3 linked regions of the Ovis aries genome follow. The protein of the gene in region 1 purifies or fractionates together with the protein of each later gene. This does not show direct contact. Links are inferred from orthologs where the notes say so. Each region holds a gene or a part of one and is shown in the gene's direction. Other genes may lie near its edges.

The links.
Region 2: the proteins of SHCBP1 (region 1) and KIF23 purify together in Homo sapiens (affinity purification with western blotting; 9 studies listed by BioGRID and IntAct, with this or other methods). This does not show direct contact. The link is inferred for Ovis aries from reciprocal best matches to the Homo sapiens genes SHCBP1 and KIF23.
Region 3: the proteins of SHCBP1 (region 1) and RACGAP1 purify together in Homo sapiens (affinity purification with mass spectrometry; 8 studies listed by BioGRID and IntAct, counting the BioPlex papers as one, with this or other methods). This does not show direct contact. The link is inferred for Ovis aries from reciprocal best matches to the Homo sapiens genes SHCBP1 and RACGAP1.

The regions. Positions count from the first base shown.
Region 1 is NC_056067.1:14,454,318-14,457,967, reverse strand, and holds part of SHCBP1 (SHC SH2 domain-binding protein 1), read left to right. Parts: intron 1-1,490; coding exon 1,491-1,658; intron 1,659-1,826; coding exon 1,827-1,942; intron 1,943-3,357; coding exon 3,358-3,566; intron 3,567-3,650. UniProt on the Homo sapiens protein: May play a role in signaling pathways governing cellular proliferation, cell growth and differentiation. May be a component of a novel signaling pathway downstream of Shc. Acts as a positive regulator of FGF signaling in neural progenitor cells.
Region 2 is NC_056060.1:16,318,219-16,321,868, forward strand, and holds part of KIF23 (kinesin-like protein KIF23), read left to right. Parts: intron 1-3,323; coding exon 3,324-3,403; intron 3,404-3,497; coding exon 3,498-3,617; intron 3,618-3,650.
Region 3 is NC_056056.1:136,282,295-136,286,466, forward strand, and holds the start of RACGAP1 (rac GTPase-activating protein 1), read left to right. Parts: upstream 1-1,282; 5' UTR 1,283-1,821; exon of another isoform or gene 1,822-4,172.

The DNA.
Region 1 (3,650 bases):
TCCAGGAGATCTTCCTGACCCAGGGATTGAACCTGGTCTCCTGAATTGTAGGCAGACGCTTTACCATCTGAACTACCAGGGGAGTCCATTGGCAGGTCGATATAAACCCCCTGCCTTAAGCCCTATGAGGTCACCGTGGAACTGCAGCACAGGGCTCCTCACTTGATTTGTGTGGGGCATGTCATTCATTCACACAAGCACACTGTAGAGTTAGTAAATTATAGCAGAAAACATGGTCGCTAGGAGAACAAAGAACTAGAGCAAGCATCCTTGCCATGTCCTAAAGAATCCCCGACGGGCCCCCAAGATAAAAGGTTGCTGCTGAACCACAAAAGACGCCTGGATTCTTGGCCTCTGGAGGAGAATTCAATCTGGGGCCAGTGACGAGGCTTGATCGCTCAGAGCTTTTGTGTAATAAAGTTTTATTAAAGTATAAAAGAGATAGATGTTACACATTATTAAGAGTGCATATCCGTGTTTATTGAGTGGTATTGACAGGTGATATTGTAGAAATTAAAGGGAAGTTTCAATTTGTCTTGAGATGATATGTCGGAAACCACCTCTACATTTAATACAGCTTTATGGAATTTTTTTTTTTTTAATGATTGTAGGATATTTGACCATTATGAGTTGCTTTGCTGTTGTTATTCAGTCCCTCAGTTGTGTCTGACTCTTTGCAACCTCATGGACTGCAGTACACCAGGCTTTCCCCTTCTCCCAGAGCTTGCTCAAACTCATGTCCATTGATGCCATCCAACCGTCTCATCCTCCATCATCCCCTTCTCCTGCCTTCAGTCTTCCCCAGCATCAGGGTGTTTTCCAGTGAGTCGGCTCTTCCCATCACATGGCCAAAGTACTGGAGCTTCACCTTCAGCGTCAGTCCTTCAGTGAATATTCAGGGTTGATTTCCTTTAGAATCGGCTAGTTTGGTCTCCTTGCTGTCCAAGGGACTCTCGAGAGTCTTCTCAAGTGCCGCAGTTCAAAGATATCAATTCTGCGCTCAGCCTTTTTTCTTGTCCAGCTCTCACATCCAGACATGACTACTGAAAAAACCACTTAACTATATGGACCTTTGTAGGCAAGTAATATATCTGCTTTTTAATACATTGCCTAGGTTTGTCATTGTTTTTCTTCCTCTATAGCTCTAGTAATAATCATAGCTATATCTTCTGAAGGAGAACTTGGGTGATTTCCACTGAATTAAAAAACAACCCTCTTTCTTTGCCTCACAGAACAGCAACAAAAACCTAACCCATGGAAGATTTTAAGTTCTTAACTGTTCTGAAGTAAAACTTGAGTTTTGAGATATTTTTAAATTTAGAAAAAAAAAATTTTTTTTGATAGTGATAGAGGTAAGTAAAGCATTGTATCCAAATCCTTGTTTATATTTTATTTGAAATTTCTAAGCAAATATATGAAAATAGAAGCGGTTGATAGGCATTCGAGGTGTCTGGGATAGTTGCACCTGACTGTTTTTGTTGCTCTCTTAGGTTTGTTTGAAAATGAAGATTCATGCAGTGATTGTAGTGATCATGCTAAACCAGGTAGTAGCTTACAAAGCTTTGTGCCAGAAGGAAAAACTCATTTCCCAGAAATGTTCCAGACAAGTCAACTTTTGTTCTATGAGCGATTCAGAGCTTATCAAGATTACATTTTAGGTGAGTAGGTCCTTTTTTTTTGCTTCTTTTATCTTTTAATTTACAGGTAAATTGTCTCAGTTCCTCAGACTGCCATTGCTGGTTCTGAGAAAGTAGACTTACAAGGATTTATTAACCTCTCTCTGCTTTACGCTGTCTCAATTCTTATTGTGTTTAATTTGTTTGTAGCTGACTGCAAGGCCTCTGAGGTAAAAGAATTCACAGCTGAGTTCTTAGAGAAGGTCCTCGAACCATCTGGATGGCGGGCAGTCTGGCACACTAATGTGTTTGAGGTGCTAGTTGAGGTAAATTTAATTCTGTTGTTAAGACATTTATCTCTACCTAAAAACACTTTCCCTCAGACTGTTGTAACCTAAGTGCTTATTTTTAATTAAGATTTATGAGCTGATTGAAAATGGCGTGTCTTTTCACACCTAATTGCTGTGGTGTAAGAAGTGTTCTGCAAATTTTAAAGGCAACTGAAGAGGGAATTGGGGTGGTTTAAGTTTCACCGTCCTTTAAAAAAGGGAAATGGACGAGAAACCTATGAAGTGGGGGAGGTATTTGAGACCATTTAAAAAATAAGATGCCTAATTATAAAGTCAGTGGGGTTTGAATTAGTTTTTTATAAAGTCAGTGGGGTTTGAATTAATTTTTTATCTTCTTAGTTATAGCCCATTAAAGTAGCTCAAACCAAGTAGGCATTTTAAAACTAGCCTATTTTTTGCCTAACAGATTTGTAGGTATATAGTTAATCTATTGATATTATGTTCCACTGCAGAAAGTAAAAACAGTCTTATTTTTCAACTGGCTGGGCCTTTTACATTAAATTTGCACTCTACTTAGAGCTGTGAATTTTTCTCAGTGTTTGTTAACTGAACCACAAAAAAAAAAAACCCCATTAAACTAAAATGGTAAACCACGGAGTGTGTGTACAGCTTGTATCTGCAGCCCCTTTAGAAAATGACATCACATCCTACAGTGACTGTATATGAGGCAGTGGTTTGCAAGCAGCTGCTGCTCATGGATGTTTAAATTTTGGATTATGCTAATACCTTTGGTTGCAGTTCAGGCCATTAAGTTGATTATGATAGTAACGCCCTCCCCTCAACATACCTCAGTTCTCTAAAAGCAGCCAAAATCATTATTTTAGAAGAGAAATGTGCCATTCCCCTGCATTCCTCTAATGCATCGCATATACTAGAGGTCTGGTTTTGGCTTTCTGGCCTCTCATCGTTGGATAACATGTAAAAGCCAAGCTCCTTCAGTGCCCTTCCTGTCCTGATCTTGCCTCTCTTGTCCCCTCCTGCTGCCCCTACCTCATTTCCTTCCTTTTGTTCCAGCAAGAAAAACTGCTTCTCTGCTCTTCAGCTGCCAACCTCATCTCTGCCTCAGGGCCTTTTCATCTTTCCTCCTCTTGAAACAGCTGCTTCCTTTTCATCCCAGCTCAAAAGAGACTTCCCCAACCCTTCCAGTAAAACCAGACCACCACTCCTGCTACTTATTCTTTGTCACATACTTGTTGCCACCTTATTTGTCACTTTGATTACAATGTCAGCTCCATGTGGGTACAAGCCAGGTCTGTTCTGTTTGTCCTTATGTATGGAAGAAGGCTCTCCACTCCCATTTCATGCTTTAAAAAAGAAATCAGGCTGTAAATAGTGTTTTAGATGTATCTTAATTTTCATTTGTGTATGTTAAGTCACATTTTAAATTTCAGGTCACAGATGTAGACTTCACAGCTTTGAAGGCAGTGGTGAGGCTTGCCGATCCGTACCTCTGTGAATCGCAAGTGAGCGCTTTTACTTTGGAGTGTATGAAAGAACTCCTTGATCTGAAGGAATACCGGTTGCCCCTGCAGGAGCTGTGGGTGGTGTTTGATGATTCTGGATTATTTGACCAGACAGCACTTGCAATTGAGCATGTCAGGTAGGAATAGAGGTTGATAAAAGTAACCTTGTGGCCAAAAACTTTGGATGAAATGCTGTAATTCTGGTCTGTATTATACCTAGA
Region 2 (3,650 bases), on another chromosome or scaffold:
TCTTTCTGCTATTACACAGCCAGTGAAGGATTAGTTTTAAAGAGATTTTCCCACTGTTGTAAATTAATTTATCAGAGGCAAGTCTAGAGAGATGAAAACCAGTTGGGAACCTTTTGCAGTAATTCAGATGAGCAGTCCTGTCACCTGGAGGCAAAGGTCAGCCAAAACTAAGAGGTAGTTTGGAAGCAGACCCACCTGGATGTGGAGAGGAAGGAAGATGCTGCTGCTAAGTCGCTTCAGTTGTGTCTGACTCTGTGTGACACCACAGACGGCAGCCCACCAGGCTCCCCTGTCCCTGGGATTCTCCAGGCAAGAACACTGGAGTGGGTTGCCATTTCCTTCTCCAGTGCATGAAAGTGAAAAGTGGAAGGAAGAGAGGAGGATAAATCAAAGAAAACCTTAATTAAGGAGTAGTCTGAGGTGCAGGTGTGGGCAGCTAAGAGTTGTATGTTGAACATATTCAATTTATTCAAGTGTAGGTGTCTAGCAATTGGATACAGAAGTAGATAGATATGGAAGGAGAGAGATTTGACTTGAGGTTTATAGGTTTAGGTTTTGCTAGTGAAGACATGATTGAAGCAATGGGGAAGAAAAGATTATTCATGGAGTACAAAGAGGAACACTGAGGGCAGGGCCTCGAGGACAACAGATCCTTGAGTCTGGGAAGGAGAGTAGGGGGTAATAGCCAGGTGACTTGGAGTTACAGAAGGACTGAACACACACTTTTTTTTGTTTTTTGCTGTGCTGAGCCTTTGTTGCTGCCATGGTTTCTCTGGTTGCAGTGAGGGGGTCTACTCTCCAGTTGCAGCATGCAGGCTTCTCACTGGTGGCCTCCGTTGTTGAGAAGCAGGGGCTCTAGAGCACACGGGCTTCAGTAGTTGCAGCTCAGCAGCTGTGGCGTGCTGGCTTAGCTGTTCTGCGTGCGTGTTCAGTCAAGTCTGATTCTTTGTGACCTGGCGGACTGTAGCCCACCAGGCTCCTCTGTCCATGGGATTTTCCAGGCAAGAATCATGGAGTGTGTAGCCATTCCCTTCTCCAGGGGATCTTCCCAACCCAGGGACTGAACCTGCATCTCTTGTGTCTCCTGCATTGGCAGGCAAATTCCTTACCACCGAGCCACTTAGGAAGCTCCAGGCTTCGTTGCCCAGGACTAACAGCACACACGCATTATATACGTCTATATGAAAAGACAAAGCATCCAGAATCCAGATCACAAGAGGAAGGATTGACCTTGGGAAAGCAGGTTTAGCTTTGGGGACAGGAACAGAAGCTGTATCAGTGTTGACATGATGGGGAAGAGCTGACACAGTTAGGGAGTTAAAACTAGACTGGGGATGGTTTGTGGCTGGGGCACACGACAATCTCAGGTTTCCAGAGGTTTCGGAGTTCTGAGTGACAAGGTTTAGGGCATGGCTATAATGCTAAAGAGAGAAAGATTTCCTGGACTTGTGGCCTGGGCCCTCTGATGGCATGTTAGAGTGACCTTCCTGTTAGATGCTGAAGTTGACCCAGGAGCTGGCATGTAAGGGGAATGTGTCTTTGAAGAACAGCAGCAAGGGACTAGGAAAATGCGGCTGGCCGCCTGCTGCTCACCATCCTTTCAGTATGTCAGGCTTTTAGAAAGCAGGCAGCTTTTTTCACAAGGCTGCAGGAGAAGCTCCACTCTTCTAGGAAATAAAAACAAGGCTGTAGGGTTTTGCATCATGGGTGGGGTGAAGCCTGTGGATATGATTCACAGTATTTTAGAATGTATAGCATAAAATACAGGATTACAGAAGAAAGCAATTAGACTGAAATGTGTTTTTTAAAGTAATCTTAAAACCTTTGTCATACAGTAATTTATGTACTTTCTTAATGCCTTAAACCTGATAGCATGTCTATGACTACATAATTTCAAAGTAGTAATGAATATAAGTATCTTGAGATAAGCAATAAACTGTTATAAAAGTTATCTGTGACTTCTGTTGATTAAACACCACAAATACTACTACTACCATTATTATACGTGTTTGGTCTACATTCATAATTGAAGAAACAGCTAAATTTCAGAGGCTAGTAAGAAAAAAGATGCATTTACTTCCCAACCACGTATGCACACTCCCTGAAGTGTACCCGTGGACAACATCCAGATCACAGGTGGCCATTAGAGAGAGATGGAACGGATCATTCTGTGAGAGGTCTGAGGGTATGGCAAGTCTGTTAGCAAGGATGTGGGTTTCGAAGAACACGTGGAGGAACGGAGGAAGGACAGTGCGAGCGGGGGTCAAGGAAGAGAAGCATGAATCATGGAGTACCATGGAGGCACAGATGAGCTCTGTATTTGAAAGGGGGCCACGAATGAAAGCATGGCTTCAAAATGAACAAACTCTTCTGTGTTGTAATACTTTTGGGGTCTCTGCAGGTGACATCTCCTGTATCATTGGCTTGATAGACCTGTCAGACTTGCCCTAACTCAGAAATTCAAACGAGTGGCCAGGACTAACAAGCATGCTGCCTAAGAAACCTTCTTTAGATATAGAGGGAACAGATTTAGTTGGCTCTTGAGACACCTGACTGGTAGAAACAGGAGCTCCTTCTGGTGTAAGGGAGACATTGATGTCCGGATGGAGCCAACTGTAGCCTGAAATATGGGCATGATTAGTGCCAAAGAATTGATGCTTTTGAACTGTGGTGTTGGAGAAGACTCTTGAGAGTCCCTTGGACTGCAAGGAGATCCAACCAGTCCATTCTGAAGGAGATCAGCCCTGGGATTTCTTTGGAAGGAATGATGCTAAAGCAGAAACTCCAGTACTTTGGCCACCGCACGCGAAGAGTTGACTCATTGGAAAAGACCCTGATGCTGGGAGGGATTGGGGGCAGGAGGAGAAGCAGGGTGACAGAGGATGAGATTGCTGGATGGCATCACCGACTCGATGGACGTGAGTCTGAGTAAACTCTGGGAGTTGGTGATGGACAGGGAGGCCTGGCGTGCTGCGGCTCATGGGGTGGCAAAGAGTCGGACACGACTGAGTGGCTGAACTGAACTGAAACGTCTGTACTCAATATACTCTTTCATGGTATTTAAGATTTGAAAGAAATCTTACGGGTCATGAAGTATAATATTACATTCAGTGGAAAGTCTTTACATAAAAAAATCCCAGTACTCACACTCTACTGCAACATTGCCAGATATGGACAGTTCTTTAAGCTGAGCCCACTAAAATCTGTCATCTGTAATTTCCATCTAAGAGTTCTATGAAGTAGATATTTCACAGACAGACAGACCATGCTCTAGCTACTCCATTGGTGTCTTCAAATGACTTCTGTGTACTTTTTTCTGTCAGGTAACATTAACCAGTCACTAATGACACTGAGAACATGTATGGAGGTCCTGAGAGAGAACCAAACTTACGGTACTAACAAGGTGAGCAGCAGTTTGTATACAAGTTTGTATACTTGTATAGTTTTGTTTGTGTGCAGTTTCTACCTGATGTATTTGGGTTTGGATATGTTTATAGATGGTTCCATATCGAGATTCAAAGTTAACCCATCTGTTCAAGAACTACTTTGATGGGGAAGGGAAAGTACGCCTGATCGTGTGTGTGAATCCAAAGGCCGAAGATTATGAAGAAAGCTTGGTAATTTTAATGCCTTTATGGAATCTGAGTTTC
Region 3 (4,172 bases), on another chromosome or scaffold:
TCATGACCATCCCCATGGAAAATAAATGCAAAAAAGCAAAATGGCTGTCTGGGGAGGGCTTACAAATAGCTGTGAAAAGAAGAGAAGCGAAAAGCAAAGGAGAAAAGGAAAGATATAAGCATCTGAATGAGAGTTCCAAAGAATAGCAAGAAGAGATAAGAAAGCCTTCTTCAGTGATCAATGCAAAGAAATGGAGGAAAACAACAGAATGGGAAAGACTAGAGATCTCTTCAAGAAAATTAGAGATACCAAGGGAACATTTCATGCAAAGAGGGGCTCAATAAAGGACAGAAATGGTATGGACTTTATTTTGGGGGGGGGGGCTCCAAAATCACTGCAGATGGTGACTGCAGCCATGAAATTAAAAGATGCTTACTCCTTGGAAGAAAAGTTATGACTAATCTAGACAGCATATTCAAAAGCAGAGACATTACTTTGCCAACAAAGGTCCGCCTAGTCAAAGCTATGGTTTTTCCAGCAGTCATGTATGGATGTGAGAGTTGGACTATAAAGAAAGCTGAGCACCAAAGAATTTATGGCTTTTGAATTGTGTTGCTGGAGAAGACTCTTGAGAGTCCCTTGGAGTGCAAGAATATCCAACCAATCCATTCTAAAGGAAATCAGTCCTGAATATTCATTGGAACGACTGATGCTGAAGCTGAAACTCCAATACTTTGGCCACCTGATGCGAGCTGACTCATTTGAAAAGGCCCTGATGCTGGGAAAGATTGAAGGTGGGAGGAAAAGGGGACAACAGAGGATGAGACGGTTGGATGGCATCACCGACTCCATGGACATGAATCTGAGTAAACTCCGGGAGTTGGTGATGGACAGGGAGGCCTGGAGAGCTGCAGCCCATGGGGTCGCAAAGTGTCGACTGCGGGACTGAACTGAACTGAACTGTCAGCTCAGTAAATCTTCCGGAATTCTTCCTATTCAATGGAGAGATGATCAGTTAAGAATTTCCAAAAGTCCTATTTCCGGGTCTGGGGAAAACAGGCCCAGAATAATTTGCCCTCAAAAAGACTCATTTGCCCTTAGTCAACATGGTATCTTCAATGCCTTCAAGAAACGGCTCCGGAGGGAGTGGGGGGAAGGGAGAAAGAAACCCCAAAAACTGGTGACCTTAGTCAAGATGGGTGCCTTTGGCCTCGCTCTATCAGAATGCGCATGCCCGTTCTTGTCCCCGCCCTTCTCCGTTGCCCTGGCCGTGCGTCAGAGCGTAGGGGGGCGGGGGGGAAACACCGCGGGAGGAATAAATTTCTCTGTGATTGGTTGGTGCAGATTTCAAACCTGGCCTGGCGGCGGGGTGCTGGTCCGCCGTTGGGTGAGACGCGGAGGGGAGTAGAAAGCTGCCCGGGTGGGGTCAGGCGGACCCGACAAGGTGGGTGCTGGGGGTTGCGAGAAGAGGTGTTTCTGGCGCTGGGTTTTTTGTGGGAGGGAGGCGTCCCTGGTAGTGAGCTGTGGCCTCCACGAGGTCGGGGTAGGGGGAGGCCGGCACCTACAGCTCCTCCTCCGCGGCCCTCCTCGGGGGCCGCGGGGCGCGGGCTGCCTGAGCGGGCTTTGCTTAGGGAGTGGGGGGGTTTCTTTCGTGGCGCCATGTTTTGTGGAAAGCCGGGGGCGTCTTTTTGAGATGGTGACTTCAGCAGGGCAGAAGCTACCCCAAAGAAATGGCTTTCACTTAAAGACAGAAAGTAGGTGGGGTAGCAAGACTTTTTCGAGGGTTCTTTTCGGAGGGACAAAACTTTTTCAAAGGGAAAAGCCCTGATGTTCTGGAGGCCGAGGCGGCTTGGAGTGGAGCCCCTCTTTCTAGTGGGCTGTGTGAGTCTCGGGAAATGATGACATTTGCCTTTCTCATTAAAATCTCAGCCTTAGAAACACAAGGCCTTACTTTGTCCTTTCACATACATCCCTGTTCATCTCTCAACAGAGGGAGTCTATAGGTGGGAATGTATAGGATTGTGGGGTGGGTGGGAAGATAAGCTTTTTTTTTTTTTTAACAAACGTCATCGTACTCTAATGTGGTGGGTGAGCTTTCGAGTTATTGAAAGTGTTTAGAGAATACGCCTTTCCTGTAGGTTAATCATTCAACAGGTATTCAGTGCCAAATTAAGTACAAGACAGTCTTGGCTTTAAATGAGCTTGCAACTTATTTGTGCTAATAGAACTTAGAAAGATAACTGTGGTGAATCTAGTAGGCCTTTACACTTGAGAATACTGTACGTTAGTCCGGCCCTTTTAGAAAATATTTTGGCACCATTTATCAAGAGTCATAAGAGATTTTTTTTACCGTCTGACTTGGTACTCCAAGCCTTGGAAATGCATTTTTAAGGAACATGGCCACTTGAAGAAAAACACTCTCCGTAGTGATGTTCAGCTTATTCGTTCATTGAATATTTTGTCATCATTTGCCAAATGTCAGGCATTGTTCTAGGCACCAGGAGCTCATCAGTGAACAAAAATCTGTGCCTTCTTGGAAGTTAAACTATTGGGGAGACAAACAATAAACCAAATAAGTCAGTTAATATGTAAATATGTTAGATGTGGATAAATGCTTTTGAGCAGGAGTTAAAGCAGGAGTTTGGGGGGAAAGATGCAATTTGAAAGAGTGGTTAACAATGGGACAATGTTTTTTTTAATTGAAGTATAGTTGATTGACAGTGTTGTGTTAGTTTCTGGTTTACAGCAAAGTGATTCATGTTCTTTTTCATATTTTTCTCCATTACGGATTTTCTCCATCATGAATTATTACAGGTCCTGGTATACAGTAGCACTTTGTTGTTTGTCTGTTTTATGTATAGTAGTTTGTATCTGCTAATCCCAACTCCTAATTTATCCCACCTCCTTTCGTTTTTGGTTGCCATAAGTTGGTTTTCCATTTCTGTTTCATAAATAAGTTAATTTGTGCTGTGTTTTAGATTCTACATATGAGCAATGTCATGGTGTTTGTCTTTCTCTTTCACTTCACTTAGTATGATAATCTCTAGGTCCATCCATGTTGCTGCAAATGGCATCATTTCATTCAGGGCTGAGTAGTATTCTACTGTGTGTGTATATATATATGTGTACATATGTGTATATATATACACATGCACATGCCCCTTCTTTATCCATTCATCTGTTGATGGGCATTTAGGTCGTGTCCATGTCTTAGCTGTTGTAAATAGTGCTGCTGTGAACATTGGGGTACATATATTTTTCAAGCCATTGTTTTTTTTCTGGATATATGCCCAGGAGTGGGATTACCAAATCATATAGCAAGTCTGTTTTTAGTTTTTCAGGACCTTCCATACTGTTTTTTCCATAGTGGTTGCTCCAATTTATAATCCTGCCAACAGCGCAGGAAGGTTCCCTTTTCTCCATACCCTCTCTAGCATTTGTTATTTGCACACTTTTAAATTATGGCCATTCTGACTTGTGTGAGGTGGTACCTCATTGTGATTTTGAGATGCATTTCTCTAATAATTACTGATGTTGAACATCTTTTTATGTGCTTATGGGCCATCTGTATGAGTAAATGACATTTGAATAAATACCTGAAGAAAGTGAGGGAGTGACCATAAAAGTAGAGGTAAACAGAATTACCTAAATGTTCAAGGAAGAGAACAGTTAAATAAATGTGCATCAACTTCTTGCAACTTAATGGAAATATGGTAGAAAAAAGTAAGACAATATATAAATCTGAATGCAGTTCTATGAAATATGATGCATAATGGGCAAAGATTACTTAGGGAGGTGCATATAGTTCAGGGTGGTGAGGTTTTAGTTTCACCATTAAAAAAATGTTACTTTTTTCTGAACAGAGAAAACTAACAGTATGAGGCAGTGTTTTATGTCTGCCAGATGAGTGTTTTAGATAATAAAGAGGTTGTTTTGTACTAAAATGATTACAGAACGTTTTCCATAAGTTGATAATACTTATATTAGACCCTGAAGAATGGAACACTTTGGAATGGAAGGAATTTACAGAAGAAATAAATAAAAGGAGAACTTAGTATAATGAACTGGTAATGATTTTATGAAAAATAATAATTTGTCTCATTCTGCTTTTTTTGGGGGGCCGTACTGCACGGCCTTGTGGGATCCTAGCTCCCCCACCAGGATAGGTGGGCCTTATGCAGTGAAAGTGCAGACAGAGCCCTAACTGCTGGACTGCCAGGGAATTCCCTCTT